Linked DNA regions of Mytilus edulis. The protein of the gene in region 1 binds, or shares a complex with, the protein of each later gene. Links are inferred from orthologs where the notes say so. Each region holds a gene or a part of one and is shown on either strand. Other genes may lie near its edges. The genes, in order: mediator of RNA polymerase II transcription subunit 24-like and mediator of RNA polymerase II transcription subunit 25-like.

What was found.
Region 2: mediator of RNA polymerase II transcription subunit 24-like (region 1) and mediator of RNA polymerase II transcription subunit 25-like share a complex: the UniProt entries of both Homo sapiens proteins name them as parts of the mediator complex. The link is inferred for Mytilus edulis from reciprocal best matches to the Homo sapiens genes MED24 and MED25.

Annotation. Positions count from the first base shown.
Region 1 is NC_092345.1:94,570,632-94,580,905, forward strand, and holds the start of mediator of RNA polymerase II transcription subunit 24-like, read left to right. Parts: upstream 1-5,308; 5' UTR 5,309-5,357; exon of another isoform or gene 5,358-5,475; intron 5,476-7,961; 5' UTR 7,962-8,007; coding exon 8,008-8,170; intron 8,171-8,608; coding exon 8,609-8,691; intron 8,692-9,803; coding exon 9,804-9,916; intron 9,917-10,274. Other genes in the region: uncharacterized protein, read right to left, coding at 1-266, 1,015-1,503, 2,405-2,774, 3,485-3,580, 5,206-5,240. UniProt on the Homo sapiens protein: Component of the Mediator complex, a coactivator involved in the regulated transcription of nearly all RNA polymerase II-dependent genes.
Region 2 is NC_092350.1:24,519,020-24,530,121, forward strand, and holds the start of mediator of RNA polymerase II transcription subunit 25-like, read left to right. Parts: upstream 1-6,803; 5' UTR 6,804-6,847; coding exon 6,848-6,966; intron 6,967-11,102. Other genes in the region: probable 4-coumarate--CoA ligase 3, read right to left, coding at 174-381, 810-1,085. UniProt on the Homo sapiens protein: Component of the Mediator complex, a coactivator involved in the regulated transcription of nearly all RNA polymerase II-dependent genes.

The DNA.
Region 1 (10,274 bases):
TCATTGTTAAAATTTTTCTTCCCATTTGTTGCATGAATACTAGCATCAGGCTCTGCTATTATTTCTTGATTGTTTGTAATGCTTTTCATCTGTGTCTTCGTGTCTGCCAAAACAGGTTGTTTGGTGGACCTATTTGGTTTTGTATTACAGTCTTTGACAGTAACAGTATCATCTTGTACAACAACTATCCTCTGACTTTGTTTGACCTTGTCATTTTTTATCTTTATATCACTATGTTCATAGGCTGTTGCAGCTCGTTTAGGTATCTACAAATATTTATAACAGAGGTTTGAAATTGTTAAAATTCAGAATTATAAATGTGTTTAAAAAAACATAAATATTTTAGTCATTTCTTTTTAAAATCAGACATGCATGAATGACATATTTCAGGATCCTTGATTATGACATTGTATCAATAATATGTTCTTTAACTTGGGGTTAAAACTTCATGGTTTTGTCTCTATATAAATTTTCATGGGGATTTAATTTTGTGGATATAATAATATTCGTTCCACGAAATAAACGAAACTAAATCCTTCACAAAAACTTTTACTGCTTTTACAGTAGTTTGCAAATTTTTCTATAGTAATAAATGAATTAAAAATTTGAATGTGTACTCAAATAATCATGCTTACAGCAAAATCATAATTTGTTGAACTGGATTGCAATCAATGACATGAAATGGCTACAGTGGTGTATAAACAGCATGATACACTCAGTGGTTCTCTCTTCATACATGTACATATTGACATTTTCTGACAGAACAATGCTTGTATTGGGACACATTCAATGTTTAATTACAGTACATGTACACTTAACAATTAATGTTAGTTTTTTTTAAATCTAATTTACTGATACTTTTATGTTTGTACATTTTGTAGTTTTATCATATTTTGCCTTTAAATATTGGTACAAATATATATACTTCTGGACATTGCCTATATAGCTATCTACCATAATTGTAAATGCAAATTACCATATTCCGCATGTACAAGAAAGATTGGATATAATTACCTTTCTCTTTCTTCTGCTTGTCCTAGGTGTATATTCCTCATCCATGTCTTCATCAACAGAATGAGAGAGGAATGTAGAACTATTAGTGTTATACCTCCCAGATTGTTTTATTTCCCGCCCAAAAGCTGTGACAGATGGCAGGAGAATTTCACACATGGTACCACAGTTGACTAATCCTTGTTTTTTGATTGGATAGTTAGTCTGAACAGCAGTATCAGTTGTCTTAGGTTTCTCAGTCTGAACACATTTGTTACAGAATTCCCTTTTCTTGTATTCTGCTGACTGCTTTTTACCAGTTCTTAATAATGTCTGTAGTCTTTTCTGAAGCATTAACAAGGACCATAACTCTCCAGCAACAGTATAACTTTCTTCTTGTTTTGTAATTTGGAACACATCACCTTTTTCTAACTGGTCTAAGTAACCAGAATGGTTGGTAAACATCTCAGCACATATGTCCTCTGACAAAAACGCAACTACATGTGAAAATATCTGAAGAGAAAAAAAGTAGAAATATTTTGAGTGCCTTCAATTTGCTTTACATATTAAAATTATATGATTACAATGTAAACTAATAAAGGGAATATATTAGGTAACTGTTTTTTCATCAATAACTTTTTTCACATAATTCAGTGATTGTTACTTGACTAAACAATCAGTAAGTAAATCATCAACAACAAATGGCATTGTTCACCTTCACCTTCAATTTACATTTATATTTTATGTTCCTGGTGACTATTACTCAAACATAGCCTTCAGAATCATCAAGTTTTCAAATTTTAACCTCTGTTTAAGAAGAGGTCAAGGATGAAAAACAAGAATGTGTCCAAAGTACACGGATGCCCCACTGGCACAATCATTTTCCATGTTCAATGGACCGTGAAAATGGGTAAAAAATATAATTAGGCGTTAAAATTAAAAAGATCATATCATAGGGAACATTTGTACTAAGTTTCAAGTTGATTGGACTTCAACTTCATCAAAAACTACCTTGACCAAAAACTTTAACCTGAAACTCGCACTTTCATTTTCTATGTTCAATGGACCGTGAAATAGGGGTCAAAAGTTTAATTTGTCTTTAAAATTAGAAAGGTCATATCATAAGGAACATATGTACTAAGTTTCAAGTTGATTGGACTTCAGCTTCATCAAAAATTACCTTGACCAAAAACTTTAACCTGTGGCGGGACAGACGGACGAACGAACGGACGGACGGACAAACGGACGCACAGACCAGAAAACATAATGCCCCCCTACTATCGTAGGTGGGGCATAAAAATCTCTAACATGTAAGCTGATATCAGGATTTTACCAAAAGCTACATATTATATTAAAACCTATTTTTATTTTTCATTGCAGACGAGGCAATAAACCAGAATTGAATTTTATTTACCTTCTTTTCCTCATAAGGTTCATATGACTGTATTCTATATTGTAGACTTATGTTATTGCGAAAATTATCAGATGGCACATTGCCACTCGCAACCACATCTGGCATGTAGTCAGTGACAAAGGTCAATGTTTGGGTCATGTTGGGAACACACAACATTTGATTACCAACAATAGGGAGACCATCATTGGTTGAAATTTGATTATCCACATTTCCTGATGAGGTGAATACAATCTGATTGGTACTTTCAATAAGACTTGATGCTTCAATGTTGTTTTGTGATAATGATTCTACACCATTAACAGACAGAAGCTGTCCATTTTGAACATCACTAAGACCAGTCTGTAGGGTAATACCATGCTGGGCAAGCAGCCTGCAAAAATACAAAAGTACATTTATAATGCAGTACTTTTACTTACAGAACATGCAATTTTTCATAAATGATAAAATTAAGGTGGTACCTTACACTACAGGGAGATAACTCTGTAAAATCAGCTAAACGTTTTAATTACGTTGTGTTGTTAAGGGAATATTAAGCTTCTCAATGATCAAAATTAGTGTTTGTCAAACTGCTATATAACCAGTGTAATTTTTCTGATAAAATGGTTGGTTCAAATTTTTTGAAATTTTTACATTTTTGTCAAAGGGTCAAAGCAAATACTATGCCAAAATTTTATGAAAATTAAACGAGCCAAGTTAATTTTAGTGAAGGTGTTGGGTACCACCTTAAATAAATTACACAAATCAGCATGACAATTATCACAAGAGTTCATGCGCTGAACTGTCTCACCTGTTTTACTTATCATTAAAGTTATGTTGAAAGTATATGTAACATAATGGTTTTACAACAAGTATCACATAAACTTAACATTATAAATATTATTATTATAATGAGGTAATGGTCAGATGAACCAGGATTCCAGTCCTGTATAGTTGTGTGTACTATCTCTAGAATACCATACACATATTGTTGAGACTGTATAATTTTATAAGAATCTGTATACAGCATGTACATATAGGAGGCTCATAACTACTACTACTGTTAACTATATAACATTTCTAAATTCAAGTTATCATATTTACCTTGTAAGGGCTATATTATTGCTTCCATCTACATGTAGCAGTGGGATGTTTATAACTTCCAGTCCAGCTGTAGTCTGGCCATGGCCTTCTTGTGGGCTATATTTACAAATATATGTAGAAGTAAATTAATGTACATGTATGTAAATATGAAAATAAAAGATATTCTCCAACTTACATGTATATATATCTAAACATTCTCAAATTTGGTCTATTTAAGAAAAATAAATTAAATCATTCTTCAGTGGTAACGCTTGAAAGACTTAAAACAGAAGTTCAGCATGCCAAACCACAAAATACAGAAACTTTTGAGTATGCCAAACTACAATGCAGTAACCAATCTCGTTAAATAAAACATCTTATCCAGGAATGAACAAAAATTCCCACCAAGGGTTGTTAACTTTTATATCTAGTTGATGCTAGGCCGGAAAACTTTTCAGACTGGACAGGTTAGTCTGTAATCAGAGTAGTTTTTCAGTTGTATATACAAATATTATTGTCCATTTGTTATGATGAACCTTAAAATGAACTCCAATCTATAAAAAGATGAAAATGTATGATGGTTGCGCCAAATACACTTTCGCTCCCTACAGGTTTGCCCCTTTGGTCCGTTCGCACATGATAAATAAGCTAAATTTGGTGTTATTGCTGTGTGTTTGAAAATCATAAATGTTGTTTTAACTTGCCTTAGTGCATGTATTTAGCTTGGTATGAGTAAAATAATACAATTGAAAGATTTGAAATGTAAAAAAAAACCTGAAAGTCAATTGTTTTTAACAGCTTTGCCCCTTTGACATGTTTGAGCTCATGATCAGTTTATTTTGAAACAATGAAAAATAGTTATAGCAATACACTAACCAAAATGTGATGAAGATTTATTTAACACCAAAAAAAATATTGTCAGAAAAATTCCCACCTTATTTCAAAACAATGAAAACAACTGATTATCATGATTATATAGCAAATACACTTTCCAAAACTTGAATACAAATTATTTAAGTTATCTGTACTTATTAACACCATTAAAACTTGAATACAAATTATTTAACATTTAAAACCAATCAACAGGGTGCACATGTTTTCTCTGTTATTGTGTATATATATGCCGACTCTAAATAAAATTTACTTACTTACTTACTTACTTTACACAGACTTGAGGGCGAACGTACAGTATAGGAGGAATGTGAATAGGCATAAATGTGTTTAAGGGCGAACCGACCCGGATTCTCATGATTGCTATTTTGATGTCAGAGACAACTCTCCACAATAGACTAAATGACACATAAATTAACAACAATAGGTCACTGTCTTCTTCCGGTAAGGAGTTGACTTAGTAATTGATAGATTTACTAACTCTGTTAAAAAAAAACAGGAGGCTTCTCCATAAAATAAAAGTAAATATTAACCTTCAACAATGAGCAAACATACAGCATTGTTAGCTATAAAATGACCAACAATGGCAATAATGAGTGCCGATTTGACCAGGTACTAAACTGACCAGAAGTCAGTAACTGACTGTCTGAAGTACATGTACTCTTACTCTAGTCAAGGACGTATATTAGATATACGTCCTTGCTCTAGTCTAAAAGTTAGATCTGTACTTTGTAATGTTTGTGTTTTTGTTTGGTTTTATGTGCTTTGTATTGATTTAATGAATTAATCTCTTTTCATATGATTTTTAACGTTTGTTTTCATTTGTTATAATCAGAACTAAGGTTCCATACATAGAATTATCTTCAGTTAAACCACTATTTTCCATCGCTTCACTTTCAAAACATCATCTTTTAGAATTTAGTACCGGAAGTTAACTTTTGAGTCCAGTCCGACATTGAACAAGCTTTTAGGTTAGATACTTCCGGGATTTTTTTTCTTTATTGTAAGAAATCAAAATTTAATGCATTTCTGTCACAATATCACAAATGCATGCATTTTAAGCATTGGAACTTAATCAGATCTGCATGAGTATAATTCGGCTGAAGCACTCACACAATCAGGTTGGCACAACTCGGATAAAAGTCCTCTAGCCAGTGAATAACTTTGAAATATAAATTATTTGTCATGATCTGTCATAGTATATGTATCTAGACCTAACACTTAAACAAATGACAACCACTGAATTACAGGCTCCTGACTTGGGACAGGTCAGGTACATGTATGAAGGTCAGGTACATATCATAACAAAAATTATGGTACATTGCAATTCTTGCTTGTTTACATATGATGCAAAAAGTATTAAAATTACAGCAAAAAGTTGTAAAAATTGTGATCAGACTGCTCTTTTATTACATGTCAGAACCTGAATTCTTTTTTGTCAGATATGTTGGAATAGTTTGCCATAAATTTTTTTTATTATTATGCCCCAGCTAGGGGCATTACTTTTTTCGGTCTGTGCATCCATTTGTTCGTCAATCTGTAACGGCATAGATGATAGTGCTAGTGAGGCATCCTTCTACTATGGTCACATTTTTATATGACCGTATGGTCCTATATTGGTATCACGTTGGCGTCGTCTGCGTCGTCGTCGTCCGAATACTTTTAGTTTTCGCAATCTAACTTTAGTAAAATTGAATAGAAATCTATGAAATTTTAACACAAGGTTTATGACCACAAAAGGAAGGTTGGGATTGATTTTGGGAGTTTTGGTCCCAACATTTTAGGAATTAGGGGCCAAAAAAGGGCCCAAATAAGCATTATTCTTGGTTTTCGCACAATAACTTTAGTATAAGAAAATAGAAATCAATGAAATGTAAACACAAGGTTTATGACCACAAAAGGAAGGTTGGGATTGATTTTTGGAGTTGAGGTCCCAACAGTTTAGGAATAAGGGGCCAAAAAGGGGCCCAAATAAGCATTATTCTTGGTTTTCGCACCATAACTTTAGTATAAGTAAATAGAAATCTATGAAATTTAAACACAAAGTTTATGACCATAAAAGGAAGGTTGGGTTTGATTTTGGGAGTTTTGGTCCCAACAGTTTAGGAATAAGGGGCCCAAAAGGTCAAAAATTGAACTTTGTTTGATTTCATCAAAAATTGAATAATTGGGGTTCTTTGATATGCCGAATCTAACTGTGTATGTAGATTCTGAATTTTTGGTCCCGTTTTCAAATTGGTCTACATTAAGTTCCAAAGGGTCCAAAATTAAACTTAGTTTGATTTTAACAAAAAATGAATCCTTGGGGTTCTTTGATATGCTGAATATAAAAATGTACTTAGATTTTTGATTATTGGTCCAGTTTTCAAGTTGGTCCAAATTGGGGTCCAAAATTAAACATTGTTTGATTTCATCAAAAATTTAATAATTGGGGTTCTTTGATATGCCAAATCTAACTGTGTATGTAGATTCTTAATTTTTGGTTGTTTTCAAATTGGTCTACATTAAAGTCCAAGGGGTCCAAAATTAAACTAAGTTTGATTTCAACAAAAATTGAATTCTTGGGCTTTTTTGATATGCTGAATCTAAACATGTACTAAGATTTTTGATTATGGGCCCAGTTTTCAAGTTGGTTCAAATCAGGATCCAAAATTATTATATTAAGTATTGTGCAATAGCAAGAAATTTTCAATTGTACAGTATTCAGCAATAGCAAGAAATCTTCAATTGCACAGTATTTTCAATTGCACAGTATTGTGCAATAGCAAGAAATATCTAATTGCACAATATTGTGCAATAGCAAGAAATTTTCAATTGGAGTTATCTTTCTTTGTCCAGAATAGTAGTTAAATTAACTTAAATCATTGTTTTATACAATATACAATGTATATTCACTTTGACTACCAACTGCTGAATTAAAACAATCTTTACCATTCAGTGATAACAAGCACTTTATTTTACATTTTAATATTTTATGATGTACATATTTAAATGAGTAGTTATTGTTGCAAACTCCATTAGAAATTTGAATTAAGATCAGTTTTGGAAAAAGGGAAAGGGGGATGTGAAAAAAAATGGGGGGGGGGGGGGGTTAAATTTTTCTCATTTCAGATTTCATAAATAAAAAGAAAATTTCTTCAAACATTTTTTTGAGAGGATTAATATTCAACAGCATAGTGAATTGCTCAAAGGCAAAAAAAATATTTTAAGTTCATTAGACCCCATTCATTCTGTGTCAGAAACCTATGCTGTGTCAACTATTTAATCACAATACAAATTTAGAGCTGAATCCAGCTTGAATGTTTTGTCCATACTTGCCCCAACCGTTCAGGGTTCAACCTCTGCGGTTGTATAAAACTGCGCCCTGCGGAGCATCTGGTTGTTATTACTAAAGTTATCATTTATGGAATTTTTTTTTTATGGAGGAAAAGTTTACCAGTATAGATCTATACAAAGTTAATGTGCAATGAATTGTAAAGAAGTTAGTTAGTACATGTGTAATATACATGTACATGTATTATGCACCAACTTTTAACAGATGCAATGAATCTCAATCAATGAAAGGTACATTGTATATTTCATGAACATATGTTTTTATACTATGTAGGTTGAGGTATACCCCATTGCTCCTTTTGTTCATACATGAGAAGAAAATGGAACAAACTAGTTCTAACCAATCAAAAGGCAGTATATTCTGTAACAAAGTAAAGACATTGTTGATGAGAGCATGGAGAGAGCGTTGGCAGGATAACCATTGGGGAGTTATGTTAAAGAAGATGTTGCTTGATGTACCTGGAGAAGCAAAAGAATTGGCAGGTATGTCGATAAAATTGAAGAAAAAACCTTATGTTTAGTTGTCAGGTACTCATGTATATTCATTAACCCTTAATACAGAAAAGAGACAATGTTTAATAGAAGTTTAAGATTGAGATTCACTTAAAAGTTTTATGTGAGTTATTGTACTCACAAATATGAATTGTACTTTAAAAATACTCACCATGTAAATATGACATCCATTTATATAATTAATTGTGTAGAATTATTGCATGTTTGTCATTTATTTTCCTTACTTCTTATAGTCATAAAGCATGTAAAGAATGTGCATTGGCCATATAAGAATAAATTTTAATAATCTGATTCAATGAAAGCTTATATCCTTACTGGTACAATGTATACATTTTTTGAGCAGTTGATGTAATTTTATGTTGTTTGCCTAATGTTATCATAACACTTATCTTATTAATATATTTATAGAGATTTTAATGCAGCAAGCCTTAGTTGGACCAAATCCAAATAATCTGATTTTATCATACCTGAAGCACAGTGTTACTTCTCAGGTATATTTGTATAAAATTATCTTTTAAAAAGATTAAGGTTCATGTGGACCCTATGGCTATGCTATGCCTGAAAATTTTTACAGATGTGCAGGTTTGTCTGTACTCCGAGTAAATTTTGAGGTGAAAATACGGCCATTTTAGTCAAAGGGTCCACATGAATCTTAACCTGTATATATTTGAAAACAGTAGAAATTACAATGTTTGATTACTGTAAACCAACTAAATTTCGCAAGCGATTTATTTTTGCGACTTTCTCGAGTAGAAAAATAGTGCGAATTTAAATCATCTTGGATATGTAAAACTTGCATCTTTCCTTATTTAACTACATCAAGTTAGTTAGAAAATCCCGAAATTAAATTACCGCGAAATGGAATCAAAAGGGCTAAACGCGAATTAAAGTATCTGCGAAAAAAATTTGGTTTAAAGTATGTTTCACCTTTTTTTCTTTTAAATTGTTTCATATTGTGTCAATCTAGGGCCTTTTTCAGCTTACTATACAGTTTGGGTTTTGCTCAAAGTTGTATGGTGACCTATAGTTGTTCACCCCCATGACTTGGATGGATAGTTGTGTCATTTAAATTCATATTGTTACCAGGCCATGTTTCCTTATTTATTATATTTTATATATACATCTCTTAAAAGAAGCTTCATTGATTTGGAATGATTCCTGTCATATCAATTATCTCTGTCATGTGTCTATGTACCAGTACATTAAATATATGTAAATAAGTGGGAACAGTACAGAATGATAGGGTAAGTGAGAGTTAAGACAACAAAATAACTACTAATCATTTGTATTCTGTTAAATTTTAACATTTCAAGCATGTATATGTATTATTCAAATACCCTGGTGATTTGAAAGCATATTTTTTTCCTTTATTGTTTTAAGCCAATAATAACAGTGAGTGTCAGGTTCTCTAACACATTATTTTACTTTCATAGAAGGTCCTTTATAAGTATGACAATTCCTTGGAAAGATCAAGTATGTCAAGAGATTTTCAAGAGGAGAAATTAACCCAATACATAAAATTAAAAAAAAAAAAGTTTATACAAATGAATATTATGAATTCAGATTCACCATAATATTCACTTATGTGATTGTTTATTTTCAGGTTATACCTTACAATACTGCATTAGGACTTATAACAAAATATGATGAATTCTCTAAACCTTACTGTATACTAGGTCTCATCAATATGGTGGAAAATATTGCCACAAATTTCAGGTATTCTATCATATGTAGCTCAAATGGTAGAAAATGTAGCCATTGTCTGCAGATACATTTGAATTGTATAAGATATAGATTGATTGGTGTTAAACACCAGTGTATTTGTCAAACCTGCGACTTTTGTTGCAGAAATAGGGATAGTGAATCGGCGGCGGCGTTAGCTAACTTCTTAAAAGCATTATATTTAAAAATTAGGAAGACCTGGATGCTTCATACTTTGTATATAGATGCCTCATGTTACGAAGTTTCCGTCAGTCACATGTCTAATGTCCTTGACCTCATTTTCATGGTTCAGTGAGTACTTGAAAAAAAAGTTAAGATTTTTTTGTAATGTTAAATTCTTTTTTATTATAAG
Region 2 (11,102 bases), on another chromosome or scaffold:
AAGTTCATTTTCTGATTTATGACCATAATCCTTTTTTGTTTTAGACATGTTCAATGGGGTTTGATTAAAAAAAAAAATATGTATAGTGATTTGTCTTTTATTAAAGTGCATAAATATCTTGGACAATTTTTCACTAATACTTTAAAAAACTTTCTCTTTATAACATTTCTTACCATCCGTATATACAGGGTTGGCAGTGCTAACAATAACTCCTAGTGCACTACAGGCCATAAACATGATAGCATACTCAGGACAATTGCTACAAAATATTAGAAATCTATCTCCTTTCTTGAACCCCATTTTAGTCAATGCACTAGCTACTTTAATGGAATATTCCTTTAGTTGCCTTCCACTGAAATGTCTGCCTGATGTATTATCAACCTGAAAAAAGTATACAAATTATCGATTTATCATACCACAAAAAATGAAACACATCAATATACCACTTTTAAGTTATGTTCTTCACTGGAAAACTTCATCATTTATACGCTCCTTTATTATATGATGTCATTTACGTAATAGAGTGGATCACCTATATTACTGCACTATCAAATTTCATCAAGTGTCTTCATGGTTGTCATTATGCAGGATTTTGATTTGATTAGCAGTTGCATTTAGATTACAGTATAAAAATCAAACACTTCAGTACAATTTAAAAAATAACTGTATGTATAAAAAATAAACAAAAAACTGTGCTATGTACATGTATAATATTTCCAATCCTTAAGTACATTTTTTTTTTTTATCTCAAACCATTAAAACCCCATTCATTTGCCATTGTAAACCTGTGAAGAAAATACTTTACACACCATCAATGCAAAATCAGAAAAGTTATCGAGCTGTTCAAACACATATTCTGCGAAGGAACACTGTGGTATTGAGAGATCTGGATATGGACTCCGTACTATTGTCTCTCCATTGACGTTAGTAATAGGAGGTACACTCCTTTTGTCTGTACTGTAATGTAAACATGTGGACCTTGCTTGTGACAATTTATTTCTGTGATGTGGTTTTGGAAACAACTGTCTTGTTAAATGAGTACATGAAGCAGGAAATATTCTTAAACTTCTCGGTATTGCTGCCATTTTGTTAACTGTATATCATCTAACTGAAAAGAAAACATGGAAAGTATTAATAGTATATGACATGTATAAATCAAACAAGAGGCTCCCAAGAGCCTGAATCGCTAACAAGGTAAAAATATGTAACTTTGATATTCATCTTACTTTTATTGCGATCAGTTTGATTATTTGCCAATCTGATTGCAAGACATTGTTGTACATGTTAATTGTATTAATGAAATTTGCTTCATACTTATCTAGTAATCTTTTGGACCTGATGGGCAAAACTAAAGAAATTATTAAAAAAAAAAAACAATGATTTAAGGGCAATATATCCAGTAAGGAGTGGGATAATTTGGCCCTGTTAAATGTTAACTTGCTGATCTTATCATCTATTTTGCTTTTTAAAATTTTCACCCTAACCACTGTAGCATGTAAAGCCTATGACTATATAAAAATTCAAAATATTGAGTAAATCATTCCTCAGGGGAAATAACTCATATTTCGATTGACTGTTTTGGTCATGATGATTTATTTGAAGGACTCATTTGCTAAACATTTTTGCTGCAAACCATTTCTGTCTATTTCTTATAGTTTCTGCAAAAAAATCCCAGAAAAATGGGTACCAAGAGTGCACACACTATAATCCTAATGTCTCACCTGGTTTTCTTAAAATTGCATTAATGATTTATTTATATTTTTTGTAATGAAAATATTTCATTAATTGAAATCAAGACAACACTGCAAACCTTCATGTATACATACATCATTGTACATGTATTGAACCAAATTTCATTTCATAAGACATGTACATCATGTACATGATGTAAGAGGGAGCAAACCAACCCCTGCGAAATGATTATGAATAATTCATGAATGTTCATGGATGATTCATGAATGATTCATGAACACAATTCATGAATTAAAGATTCATGAACAGTTAATGAACTAGACATGAACTACAAATGGACATCACAAGTATTAAATTATGTAAGAGTCAGTTTAGGTAGATAAATAACATGTATAATTAAAAATGTCATTTGAATATTATATATTTTGCAAAAAACTAAATTGGTTTACACATGGTCATGTGTAGCAACATCTGCCTTCTCACTCATAACACCTGAGAATACCCCCAGTTTTTGAGAGGTTCATGGCTCTATGTCTACATGTCTAATGTCTTTTAAAAGTTTTCTATGTTGTGTTTCGTGTACTCAGGTCTTAGTCCTGTCATGGCTTTTGTTTTTTTCCCAAGGTGTTTTCAGTTTGTTTTCCATTTTTGAGGTTGAATGTCCCTTTCTCCTCTTTTTCACATAAAATACATGAAATATATCGTTTTATATAAATATCTGAATGTATTGACAAAAATACGAAGTTCAGATATGAATTGTGATTCATAACAGTTAAAGGAATAAAGCTGCAGATGCACACACAAATACAAAATAGAATAGAATAATTTTATTCACCAAATTAGGACCCCAGGAGGCCATATATGCATAAAACAATACATAAAAGCTTTGAAATACTGAATTTGCTTTTAATGTATGTCATGTATGTAAATTCATAAATTGCACTGTATTGAGAGGTTTAAATTAATGCTGATAATGCGACAGGGGCAGTATTGCAATGAACAGAACCCAAATTCTAATATCTGATGCATGTGAAATTGTGAATGTTTAAAGCTTTTCCTGAATTCACAATAGTTATTAATAACTCTTGCATTCATCATGTTACTGGCAATTCTATAACAAAAGTAAATGTATGCAATATTTCTGAATATACTGTAATAGACCACTTTCGAGTTTGTCCTTCATCGAAAAAACTCATCAATTATGAGCGCCTTTATGACATTGTTTACCAGATAGAGGGGATCACCTGTATTCCTGCACTATTAACTTTCATCAAGAGTCTAAATAAATGTCATTGTGCAGGATAAAATAGAAATAATATTCGTTCTGTAGGTACTTAATCACAATTCCCTAATGACAGCAGTGCTGATTGTCAATTATGAGAGTTCAGTTTGCCGAATAATTTCAAATTTGTGCAATACTGTATAGCAGGTTATTTTTGTGGGTGTAAATTTTCGAAATTTTTAGCGGATAGAACAAAATCGACAAAATAAATTCCACCAATTTAAAAATGCACATGTAAAAGTATTGACAAAATTTTTGAATTCAACAAAATATTATATGCCAAAATATTTCGTATACCTTATCATGCTTTTTCAACATTTGTTCAATGAAAATCACGAAATTTTACACCCACAAAATTAACACGATAAAAGGTATATTATAATATATAGCATCATACTTTCATAGTCTTCCAACCACTAAATCAACATTGGAACTGAAGTGATGATGACTTAAACACACCAATGTTCACTAAAACAAAAGATTTTGTCGAGAATGCATCAAACTCAAAAGTTGTTTTTTATCGACTCCTATTGAATGATGGACAGTCAGTACGTGAATTTTTCTTGCTACGTGATTGGAAGATATTACGAGACGTGAATAATCAAAGTTTATTGATTGGTTAGGACAATCCAAACCTAGTAAATGTCCTTCAATCCCGTAGAGTATCAAATTTGTCCTCTCTATTTTAGCAATTAGATTTTGCCTGGTCATTAATCATGCATACAGGGGGCGGATTTAGGCGGGGGCGTGGCGGGCGTGCGCCCCCCCTAAAATTTAAAAAGCATGGGTTGTCCTCAGCTAAATAAAGTATCTGAACAGATGACGAATATCAATGTCGTCGCATTGCATCTGTTTTAATATTCAAAGAAGTATATAAAACAATAAGTTTAACAGAATCAACATGATTACTAATAAACTGACTTACGGTTTATTCATAAGTTCTATAAATATATTATGCTTCAAAGAAAGGTATCAAACGCGGTACTGCGTTTGGTGAAAAATTATCATAGGCTTTTAGCAGTTCAAGTAAAACAATTGTGACAGGGTACAGGGATCTCCATGGATGAAAATTGAACCATGGAGGAACTTTCACCATTATAAACCGTGTATACGCTGTACAGTGTAGCACGATCGGAAGTATTTTATCCCTCCATACAAGGAATGGTGAACATGCCAATTCATTGCTTATTGAAATTATATTTATTTGAATTTTCATTATAGAATTAGAAGTGTCAATATGTTCATTTATTGCCGTTTTTAACCATTCCAATACCAAGTCTTCATGGTCCCCCCTTAGTCGAGAATGACTAAAAGCTGTCATGAAGGTCCCCATGTAGATCGCTTGTATTTTTGGTAATTGTTATGGGGGTTAAAAATCATATGATGTGGATCTTATTTTTCATGAACACTGTCAAATTCAGAACCCATTACCGGTATGGCTGATTTGCAGCAACAACAAAACGATTGGTACGGGTTATGTAAAAGGTTAAAGAGATTTGTAAAGCAAATGAAAAGGTTTTTAATGACTTTATCTGACAAATTGATGCTGTGCAACATGCATCTTTCGAGTCTGAATAGAAACCGGAAACGCGGATGTATCAATTTGATTGTAATATACGAAATGAATTCGGAATTACGATACGATATTTCTTGACAGGAAATATTTATAAGTTTTTACTTTTAAACTTTTAAAGTCATTTTAAATTATCGTTACAGCAGTACTCGAGTTATTTGTGATGAAATAATATTTACTGTTTTGCGTCTTATTTTGTACTTCTTAAAAAAGGGGGATGCTGATTGCGCAAGTCAAAATAAAGCACGTGTTTGACTTGTTAAACTGTTTTCTTTGTAACTGGATTATTAATTTATTTATTTAATCTAAATTATCATAATCATTTGCTGAAACTTAGTTGATTAATTCGACAAATGGATCGTCTATCCTCAGATAGTATTCTCCTGTCTGGTTTGTTGATCTACCTGTACAAGCTCAGGTACAAGTGATTAGCGATCTTAATCCGGATATCCCCCAGGCGTTAGAACTGTGTTGGATTATAACATAAAAAGCCTGAGGGTTATGCAATTACATGCATTTGATTATAATTGATAAAAAAATGGCGTCGGGCTACAAAAAAGATGAAGTTTTGAACATGTTGAACGATGGCGGAAGACAATTTAACGATGGCGCAAGATAATTTAACGATGGAGCAAGTCATTTGACGATGGCGCAAGACATTTGAACGATGGCGGGGCGCCATCGTTAAACAGGCCATGGAGATCCCTGGGGTAGTTGCGGATGTTATAAACAATTTCTTGGATAATCGAAGTTCAAAAACAACCCTACCTTACTTTCCCACGAAGTAGGCGAAAGTGCCCTACCCGCGGTTGGGTTGGTTATTTCATCATGGCACTGCCAAGAAAACAGTCCTGTTTAAACTCTTTCTTAATGAAATATAGGAATACTGGTTCAAGCGAAAGTTAGTTTATTAATTTGTATCATTATTTAATATCTCTGTATGATATCAATATATGTTTCTCACTTTCAACCTGTAAAGTTTGCCGAAGCCTACATACACGGTAAAGGCCCTAACCCGTACTACCGTATTACATAGGATCCCACGAAAATAAACATATCTTCGCAAGGACCTCTTTCGGATTTTACTGGTTTGCGGTAAAAATGTATATAAAAAGTTTGACACGACCTCCGGAAAAAAAAGAGAAAAATTAAGAAAAGGCAATTAAAAATCGCTGGCAAAAGTAGAACTTTTTGTTTTCGAAATCTTATATTGGTTGGTGAGCTATTATTGAGTCAATGAATAGAAGCTCGCAGATTTCTTGTTAATTAGGTGATTGCAGATTGTAAGGGGTGGATTTATGCGGGTTTAGCTTGAAACTTTAATTTCTCGCTAATTTTACCACAAAATATTTATTTCTCAATACGCTTGGCGAGATATCTACATTGCACCCTCTCTAAAAGAATATTTCAATAATTTCGAAATTAATACCTCCAAAAATTTTTCGCCTCGCTCCGCTCAGCGAAAATTTAAATTTGCGCCCCCCCTAACCGAAAATCCTGGATCCGTCCCTGGCATATTCATGATATTGGACCACAGGTAACTTTTATCTATAAATAGTCGAATCTCCAGATCTGGAGTTTCGTAGACAACAATGTTAAACGATATGTATACTACTTCATAACGTGTGACCTCACGGTGTGGTAAAATTTGTTGATTGATGCACATGGTTATTCTAGTAAATGTATTAATCTACAAAGCGAGAGCACTTTCATCAGCTAAGAGTCGACTAGCCCTTTTTGAAAGGCTAATGCTTGTTGATATTGTTGTTGATTCACGTCCAGTGGCAAATATTTCATCTATCAACCAGAGACATATAAAAACCCAAAGAACTTATAGTATTAAGGATAAAAATCATTTGCATGATTAAAAATCATAAAACTGTCGCAGATTTTACATTCCTAATTACTTAAAACAACACCAATATCTCTTAAGAGCTACCTATATAACTGTTTAATACCCTCGCTGCAAACTGACAGACTAAGTGCCAACTTTTGACCTTTCGCCTATTCCGTAATTTCACCCGTTTTCGTTTCGAGTTTTATTTTGTAGAAGAAATATATTTTTGCCAAATAATCGTAAAAAACTAATATTTGTCACAAACAAATTTAACTTATGTCCATTATGCTGAAAATTTACGATGTAATATATTAAAAGATGCTTACATATGAACATTTCCCGAAGAAGAATAAGAACTATATTTAACGGTTTCGTAATTCATGCGCATGCGGAATAACGTAAAAGTATCTGTCAATCGCCCTACTTCCGTTTACAATTTCCATATGCTAGAAAGAAACGGACGATGGTAATCTCAGACAGTTTTAAAAACCCGTCAGATGTTGTATTTGTTGTTGAAGGAACTGCAAATCTCGGTGGATATATTGACGTCTTAAAGGAGAATTATATTATCCCCACTTTAGAGTAAGAGAACGTTGATTGTTATTAATGTTTTTAATTTTGTTTGACATTTATTTATTTCTTAGTTCAAACTTTGGGGATTCCCCATTTACTTTTGGGGAATATTATACTTTAAGGAAGTGTTCTTTGGAATAACCTGTGTCTGTAATAAAGATTAAAACTACCATTATCAATTCTAAGAAGCATAGGCACTTGTTTTTATCCATTGGAAGCCCCACTATCAACGTATATTTATGAATAATATACGTTGATAGTGGGACTTTCAATGGATAGAAACAAGTGTCTGTGTTAAGAAGTGTGTTGTTAACAGGTTAACACGAATAACCAAAGAAAGATATATATACATATACTAGAACAAACCCGTGATATCGCGGGTCCGTGACTGAATTAAAGTATATAACTATGCGCAAGCCTTATTTTAGTATTAGTATTGTCATCTGATAAAGTCATGACGATTATAAGATACACAGTTTTCTCTGCTTTCAAATCTTTCTGTTTGAATCCGTCGAACTGGAACTTATCAATTATTGGTAATATTAATTATTTGGAAAACAAAAGGTCCTGGAATGGAGTATTTTTTAATCAACAGCATTGTCTTATATTAGTTATAAATAAAGTTGAATTCTTTGATTCACTGTTTTACTTCACGCTTACAATTTGAAAACTGTACCTATACGCCTTATTTTTAGTCCAGATTTTTGTCGAGCCTGCAACTTTTGTTGCAGAAAGCTCGACATAGGGATAGTGATCCGGCGGCAGCTACGGCAGTGGTGTTAGCTCACTTCTTAAAAGCTTTATATTTCAGAAGGTGGAAGACCTGGATGCTTCATACTTTGTATATAGATGCTTCATGTTACGAAGTGTCCGTCAGTCACACGTCCAATGTCCTTGACCTCATTTTCATGGTTCAGTGACCACTTGAAAAAAAAGTTCAAATTTTTTGTAATATTGAATTCTCTCTTATTATAAGTAATAGGATAACTATATTTGGTATGTGAGTACCTTGCAAGGTCCTCACGTCTGTCAGACAGTTTTCACTTGACCTCGACCTCATTTCATGGATCAGTTTTGGTGGTCAAGTCCATATCTCAGATACTATAAGCAATAGGGCTAGTATATTCGGTGTATGGAATGACTGTAAGGTGTACATGTCCAACTGGCAGGTGTCATCTGACCTTGACCACATTTTCATGGTTCAGTGGTTATAGTTAAATTTTTGTGTTTTGGTCTGTTTTTCTCATACTATATGCAATAGGTATACTATATTTGTTGTATGGAATGATGGTAAGGTGTACATGTCTAGCGGGCAGATGTCATGTGACCTTGACCTCATTTTCATGGTTCAGCGGTCAAAGTTAAGTTTTTGAGTTTTGGTCTTTTTATCTAATACTGTATGCCATAGGTCAACTATATTTGGTGTATGGAAATATTTTATGATCTTTATGTCAGTCGCGCAGGTTTCATTTGACCGTGACATCATTTTCACGGTTCATTGCACAGTGTTAAGTTTTTGTGTTTTGGTCTATTTTTCTTAAACTATAACATGTATAAGTAATGGGTCAACTATATATGTTGTATAGAAGCATTGTTAGCTGTACATGTCTGCCTGGCATGGTTCATCTGACCTTGACCTCATTTTCAAGGTTCATTGGTCTTTGTTTAGTTATCTTGGTTAATGTTAAGTTTATGAGACAGTTGTAATAAAACTAAGCTTTATACTTAGGACTATCAACATAATATCAATGATTAGTATAGAAGGCGAGACATTTCAGCGTGTGCACTCTTGTTAGTATTCGTATTGTTATCTGAGAAAGTCTTACTGATTAAAATACTACAATAGGTAACAATTTGACAATTTAGTAGTGTCAACCCTGTGATTATGACCCGTGTATATGGACCATAATTTGGTATTCGGCCTTTGGTTTCTTGTTGTATCCTTTTTTATAAGTTCTAAAACTTTAACTTTTATTCTGTGGGTTGTGCATGTTGTGTTGGTGTTAGAATAGTATTAATGGAACAATTGAGTTCAAGAAAAAAATAATACATTTTGATTCACCGTTTACGTGACAGGAAACCAATCTTTATTTTCTTTATTTTGCACAATATATTTCAAAAGACATAAATGAACACCATTACTAGTGTTACTTGCTTCATGTTAATATTTAAAATCTATTTTCAATGTTAAATTAAAGGTTTTTTTAAACGCGACAGGAAACCATAAGAAACCGAAAGCATTTTTTTAGTTTTATTTTATTGCAAAATCTGCTTAAAATAATCTGAACAGTATACTTTTTCTTAAAATCCATCTTATATGTAACAGTATTATAAAACTCCTAAATATGTGCTTGTTTTGAAAACAATTAGTACAATTTATTCAGAAATTTCCATATTTTCTTCATTGATACAGGATACCATAATCGTTGTATCTTGATGTTTTAGCCAAAAAAATGTAGTTATATTTGGTTTTGAAATTCCAGTTATATACAATTTATTCCAAATCATGGCAATGTAAAATTCTTTAAATCCAGTAAAGAAAAAAACTTTTAACTTGGAATTAAAATCTTTAAAATAGGCACCATGTGATATTTGTGACCTGTACACCATCTACATGGTTTCCACATTTTAACCTACTTTAGTGGGCTAAAATCAATAAAGTACTTCCTTTCAAGTCATGCATGGTGAAAGTTTACTTCTCCTTTGACAAGTTTATTGTGTTTCTGAAAAGTGTTTGCAGAACATGAATAAAAAAAAATAATTAAAAATTGTGACAAAGACACCAACTTTGTACATTCCAAGTGTAACGGTATATTAACATGTATTTTTTATTAAATTATCTTAATTCACCTTAAATATCCAGTAAAATTTACTGCTGAAGCAAAATCAATCGAACGAGCATCGGCACAATGATAAGAGACATAATTTTGATTGAATTTTCCAAGATCCCTTTACATCGATATCCGGAAATGAAGTGTGTTATAACATTGTCAAATCTGAAATCGATTTTGTCAAGTCATTGGGCATTTATTTTCACACAAGATCGTATGTAACATTATGCACATAGGAAAAATAATAGACCCCCGGCGCAATCTCTTTGAAAATTGTATTTTCCTTTTTTAAACAAGAAGAAACAAGTCTACAGATTATGTTTGCTAACATCCCGTTGGAAACAAAAACAATGTTTAGACCTAGTATTTCGTATATCCGGCCGTAATAGGGTGATCACTTGTTAGTCACATGTTTCACGTATGACCGGAAATGATTAGAACTTAACGACAAAAACAATTTTAATAAAAAAAAGGAAATAACTGGACTTCTGTTTCGTGTGAAATGTAACGCATAACGATAACGTCATTTTCTAACTTAATTATTACGAAGAACAAAACTAGAATGTAAACCATCTCTGATTTACCTGTTTGAACATCTCGCGAGAGTTCATATTTGCATATTGATATAAAGAATTCTGTTACAACAAAGCAGATTACATCATCTAAAATTTGCGTTACGGAATTGGAAACGAAAGTAACGCCAGTGTTCTTACACCTACTACAGAAATACTTATAGTTCTCTGCATTTTCTTCTGACTATTCTTATTGGTCGATGTTCTTTATTATTTGAAAGCAAAAGTTAAGAATTTGCCGGTGACGATTATCTATAAATCAGTCAGCGTTATGCACTTCGGAAGCGAAAAGTATCGCGAGAAACGACACAAAAATAAGGTCGTATAATCTATGAAATTGGTTAATTTCAATTTTTTTTATAGGGAAAAGTAGCATACACTTGTATGTTGATAAAAATAAAGGCATCTTTAAATGTAGTTACAACTTTTCTTACAGAAATACACATTTTTATCACTTTTCTATCGTTATAGGAAACGAGCCCAATAGCAAATTATGGTCCATATTTAATTAATTTTGGTGCCAGTGTTTCATATTTCATGATTTTCATCTGACATGTTCAGGTTAAAAAATATAGATTTTATTAGATGACAATAACTAGGACATGTAGTGTCATTGTTTTTTGTGATAAAACAATTTAACTAGTTTCATTTCTTCTTGTGATAAAAATATTACTAGTACTGCTAGACTTAGTAAGTGGTTATCATACAAAATGAAGCATGCCTCCATGTGCTGGATTTTCTC